2 linked regions of the Kluyveromyces lactis genome follow. The protein of the gene in region 1 purifies or fractionates together with the protein of each later gene. This does not show direct contact. Links are inferred from orthologs where the notes say so. Each region holds a gene or a part of one and is shown on either strand. Other genes may lie near its edges.

What was found. Proteins that work in one complex are often made in the same cells at the same time.
Region 2: the proteins of COX18 (region 1) and COX2 purify together in Saccharomyces cerevisiae (affinity purification with western blotting; 3 studies listed by BioGRID, with this or other methods). This does not show direct contact. The link is inferred for Kluyveromyces lactis from reciprocal best matches to the Saccharomyces cerevisiae genes COX18 and COX2.

Annotation. Positions count from the first base shown.
Region 1 is NC_006038.1:705,785-708,872, reverse strand, and holds COX18 (membrane insertase COX18), read right to left. Parts: upstream 1,562-3,088; coding exon 620-1,561; downstream 1-619. Other genes in the region: KLLA0_B08041g (uncharacterized protein), read left to right, coding at 224-493; transcription elongation factor SPT4, read right to left, coding at 2,009-2,317; glutathione-disulfide reductase GRX8, read left to right, coding at 2,877-3,088. UniProt on the Saccharomyces cerevisiae protein: Required for the insertion of integral membrane proteins into the mitochondrial inner membrane. Essential for the activity and assembly of cytochrome c oxidase.
Region 2 is NC_006077.1:34,339-37,023, forward strand, and holds COX2 (cytochrome c oxidase subunit 2), read right to left. Parts: upstream 1,369-2,685; coding exon 598-1,368; downstream 1-597. Other genes in the region: VAR1 (ribosomal small subunit protein), read right to left, coding at 2,301-2,685. UniProt on the Saccharomyces cerevisiae protein: Component of the cytochrome c oxidase, the last enzyme in the mitochondrial electron transport chain which drives oxidative phosphorylation.

The DNA of each region.
Region 1 (3,088 bases):
ATAGCGAGATTGTACCGGCAAAACGTCCCCTCTCTTCTGTCTTACTCTATTCTCTCATTCTTCCGTAATATTTAGAAAAAGAAATCTAATATCAGATTCATCTTATAACTAACATCTCATCTCATCTCATCTCATCATCTCAGACATAAGTTTGTAAGGTGACAGCATTTAGAGGCTACATCAGTACCAGTAATTTGATCCCACACCAGTCGAGTATTTGAATATGCCGCAAAAAGCTTTGAAAGTGACAAAGAAGGCTAAGGACCCACGCAGGGTTACTAAGAAACAAAAGAACTTAAAGAAAGCAGCTCCACTACAGATCAAATCAAAGAAACAATCTCTTCAGCATTTGAAAAAATTGAACAAGACATACTCTATTACAGAATCCACTGAAAGACTAATATCAAGTCGTGTTGGTCATCTCGAGCTATTGAAGGGTACCCGTAAGGAGTTGGCAAAGCAAGAAAAGAAGCTAGAGGGCAAGAAGAAATAAGGACCCATCTTGCTGTGAAGCTTCGAACAAAGACCACTGTTTGCTAAACAGAAATATTAACTATGTACAGTGAAAGTTTTATAAACGATTAAATTAACTTATATGTGTTAAAAGATAGAAGCTCCATTATCTCTGATATGGCCATAGCAAATCGAGAATTCTGTTCTGAATCAACGAATAAACCTGAGATGTGATCCAATATAGTGAAAGTAAGACCGAAGCCTGCGTGGAGACCCCAATTAGAAAAATTGTGCTTAGTCTAGTCGCTGTGAGGATACTGTTTACCGTCTGTGACGTTCTCGATTGTGTGTCAGTAGCAGTGGTAATGCCAGAAGTTCCTACTGCAGTTGCTTGCATCGTCTTACCGTTATACTCAACATTGATCATCGAAACGGTTCCTAAAATGATGGGTATTAGCATTGGTGCTGCGTCCAAGGGCAAACTTAGGTCTAAAGAACCTATATGAGTTAACCAACTTGTCTCTGAAAGATCTTGTAATACATGTGCGTGAGGCATATTTGTGTCCACTAACCTACTATCAGTAAGCTTCCTAAGCCCCATTGACATAGTCACCCATAGAGGGACTTGAACTAACGGTAGAACACTATTCTTCCACATCTGTACGTTGTATTTTTTGAATAAAACTTTTTGTCTCTTACGCATTTCTTTCAACGATAACATCGTTATTTGATCTGGCGTTAACTGCCTTTTTCCTCTTTGAAGCGCTCCGACCGTTTCCTCTTTAGTTTGTATTGCACTACCAGAACTTGTCAATTCTTCGTCATTAGCCTTCGCAGTCATCGAAGCCAATCTTAGCTTCACCACAGGGGGAACACTTTGCACAACTTTCCGAAGCTCTTGCTGCTTCACTATACGTTTCCTTTGCCATATACTTAGTGGTAAAGTGAACACCGTTCTCAATGCAAAAGTGGCAGTTGGTATGAGTACTAACCATGGTACTCCAGAGGCATCGTGTAACTGTACAAAACTATCAGCAATAGCTTGCAATGATCCAAATTGTCTCGAACCCTTCGCAAAATGTACGGCAGGTAATCTTCGAAGTAACATAGTTGATGTAAAACCCCCAAGATACCGATCCAATCTCAATCTGGACTCTTTACTTCACCTTTCAAGGCGAGCAAAGATGTACTGCATTTGATAGAAAATTGTAGTTTAATGGATGATCTTTGAAATGACAAAAAATGTTGAAATGATCAAAAATCATAGTGGACATGGGGTACAACCACCAATTTTACGCCAGATCCTTTAGATATTCGGTAACATAGATATAGATAGATTGATACAGCGATTGCGCTTTTCAATTCAACTTTTTTTTTGGTTTAATAGATATAGTACAGAACATTTGATATATTTCGAAGGATAAATATACATGTAATAAGGGAGCCACCTTATAGGATGCAAGAGGAAATTAATAAATGGGGGCACCAAAACGGCCCCATGACGATTTCAACATAAAAAAACTAAAACAGACAAGTGCTTAACAAGTGCTTAAAATTAATCAACTTGACTTCCATCTCTCGGTTTATAGTGAGGCAAAAGTTCCGTTACCTCTATTGGTAAACGACCATCAATTTTGACAGCGTACATTCCTGGAATATAACTGTCAATACTCATCCATCTCGCTACCCACGACCTGCTAGGTTTACACATACCAACCAAACCTTCAAAAGATGGGGAAGTACATTCAACAGCCGAAACACCTGCCTCTTCAAAGATCGATTGACAGTTCGGGCACCCATTCCTATTGAATTCAGCAGTCGATTGCACCAGTCCACATAACATACAAGCTCTGTCCGTTGACATTTCCCCACTCTTTTCGATGATATGTTCTTATATATATTGAGGCTTTGATTCCAGCTCTAATCACAACGTATGAACTGGTTCTTACCCATAAAAGATCGCATTAACTTACCTAATGTGAGTATGTAGCTTGATGCTTACAGCTTTTTCAAATTGGAAAACTGAGAATCGATGCTCGTTGATAAAGATCATAATCAGGGTAACAACAAATCTGTATAATACCCCAAACAGAGTAAAATGCCACATACAGGGAACGAAACTACATCATGTTATACCCTTTACTAGATGCAACTGTTCGCACGCGTTAGAGACATACTACCGTATTTCAATTCTTAGTGGCATCAACGGTGTCTTTTCTGTGGGAATGGCGGAGTTTCAGCACGGAAAAACTGTGGATGGTCTTAATGAATATTTAAAGGTCAGATTTTCAAAAGAAACTTGAAGATTTCAACCTTTCTGTTATATAAGATGAGGGTCATCCCCCAAATGTGAACAGAATGTAGCTTATTCTCGGTAAAGTAATTCTCATATCATCAGGAAAGAACTAGTCAATTTACAGAGGATGTCTAAGTATATTGCTATCGCCCGTGAAGTAGTTTCTTCTCACAAGTTTGTTCAATTGAGTGCGGGATGGTGTCCTGATTGTGTATATTCCAATTCCATATGGAAGAAATTCGGCGTTACGGACAAGATCTTCAATTATGATATTGCTGAAGTGACTAACAGTAGATCCGAATGGAATGAAATCAGAGATGCATTTCAAAAGGCCACTGG
Region 2 (2,685 bases), on another chromosome or scaffold:
ATATTATAAATAAATATAATATATAATTATATTAAAATATATATATGTATATTAATCCGCGCCTCATCCTTTATAATGGATGAGGCGCGGATAATACTTTTCCCGCGGACTCCTTTAAAGGAGTCCGCGGGGGTTTATTATTAATATTATAATATATAATAAATAAGAATTACCCCGCGGCTCATCACCCTACATTCGTAGGGTGAGAGACCGCGGGGGAAAAATATTATTATAATAATTAATTATTATAATAATGGTTATCCTAAATTTATTACTCCCTACTCCCCCCCTTCAATATCTGCGCACCAATCGTGTGCGACAGGAAGGGGGGGGAGTATAGCATGAGATCAATAAATTATTTTTATACTCTTATTTATATATAATTATTATTATATTTAAAAATATAATATAATATAATATAATATAATATAATAATTCCGCGGATTCATAACATGAATCCGCGGGATATAAAATAAGTAAGAATCCCCGTCTCCTTGTGGGTCGGGAAGGTGACCGTGGGGAAACCCCTAATAATATTGTAGGGTTTGCAGGGAAAGAATATTATTATATATAATTTATTAATTATAAATTATATAATTATTGTTCATTTAATCATTCTAAGAATGCTGGTAATGAAACTGCTTCAATTTTAATAGGCATAGCTGAATGTGATTGTCCACAAATTTCTGAACATTGTCCATAGAATACACCTTCTCTTTGAATTAAAGCTGATACTTGATTTAATCTACCAGGAGCTGCATCAATTTTAATACCTAAACTAGGTACAGCAAAATCATGAATAACATCAGCTGCTGTAACAACAAATCTAATATGTGTATCAACAGGTACTACTACTGAAGTATCAGTATCTAATAATCTTAATTGACCATCTTCTAATAAATCTTCAGGAATAACATATGATTCAAATTCTACTGTTTCACCATTATCATTAATGAAATCTGAGTATTCATATTTTCAATATCATTGTAAACCAATAGCTTTAATAGTCATTGCTGGAGAAATAACTTCATCACATAAATATAATAAAATGAATGAAGGGAAAGCAATAATTAATAAAATTACAGCAGGGAAAATTGTTCAAATAATTTCAATAGTTTGACCATGTTTAATATATTTATAAGCAATAGGATTTTTACTATAAGTTCTTACAATTGTAAATAATAATCATGATACTAATCCTAAAATAATAAATAAATAGAACATAATATTATCATGTAATTCTAAAATACCTTCTTGATTAGGTGTAGCTGAATCTTGGAAATACATACCATAAGGTGTAGGTACATCATTCATAATAATTGAATTTAATAAATAAAACATATTTATAATTTTTTTTAATCTATATATATTCTATATATTAGATATTACATTGATTAATATATTATTCTCCCGCGAACTCATCCAACTAATGTTTTGATGAGTTCGCAATTAGGAAAAAAACTTATTAATAATAAATTATTATAAATAATTATAATAATATTAAATAAGTATATTGATATATTATTATTAAATTTTTATATTTTAATTGATATATTTAATATATATTAGAGATACGAGATTTGAACTCATGTCCTTCGCGTGTAAAACGAATGCTCTGCCAATTAAGCTAATCTCTATTATTATTATTATAATAATATTATACTTACTTATATCTATATAATAATATTATATAATAATTATTATAAATTCCCCCAATTGCGTATTCCTCCCCACCCCCCTTAAAGGGGGTGGGGTTTATTAATTATATTAACTCCGGGGACTCTTCCCAGGTATACACCTTATGGGAAGGAGTCCCCGGGAGAAGAGTATATAAAATTATTTATACACCCCGCGGCTTATTCCCTGGAATTCCAGGGAATAAGTCCGCGGGAAAAGTATTATAAATAAATTAATAAATAAATAAATAAATAAATAAATAAATTATTAATACTAATAATAAGTATTATACCCCGCGGGAAAATGTATATTATATATTTATTTATATATAAAATTAATAATATAAAATTAATTTTTATTAGTATTTAGAGGTCCTTAAGGAAATAGTAAGGAGAACGCGGGAAAGATATATATTAATTTATTATATATTATAAAATATTTATATTTTTACCCCCCCCTTCATATAATATGAAGGGGGGATTATATGTATATATTAATTTATTATATATTATATAATTATATAATTATAATATAAAGAAAGAAGCCCCACGCGGCATTACCCTAGGGTAATGCCGCGTGGGGGAAGAATATTGATTATTTATTTATTATTATTAATTAATAAATTAAATAGTATTTAATTTAACTTTAATATTATATTTACCATTTTTATTAACATCAGAAATATTAGTAATATTATGGTTAACAGGGATATAATTTAATTTATAATTATTAACCATTTGATTACCTCAAATATATTTATAGTTTTGGAATGTACCATTTAAAATATTCATTGTATTAGATCTAGAAATAGATTTATTATTAGATAATCTACCTTTTAATTGAATTGATCATCCTACTAAATATTTAAACATTAAAATATTATTAGGGATAGTATTAATATTATTATTTTCATAAATAATATTATATAATTTCCCCGCGGCTCCTCCCCTGGGATTACCAGGAGAGGAGTCCGCGGGGTTATTATTATTATTATTATTAATTGATTTA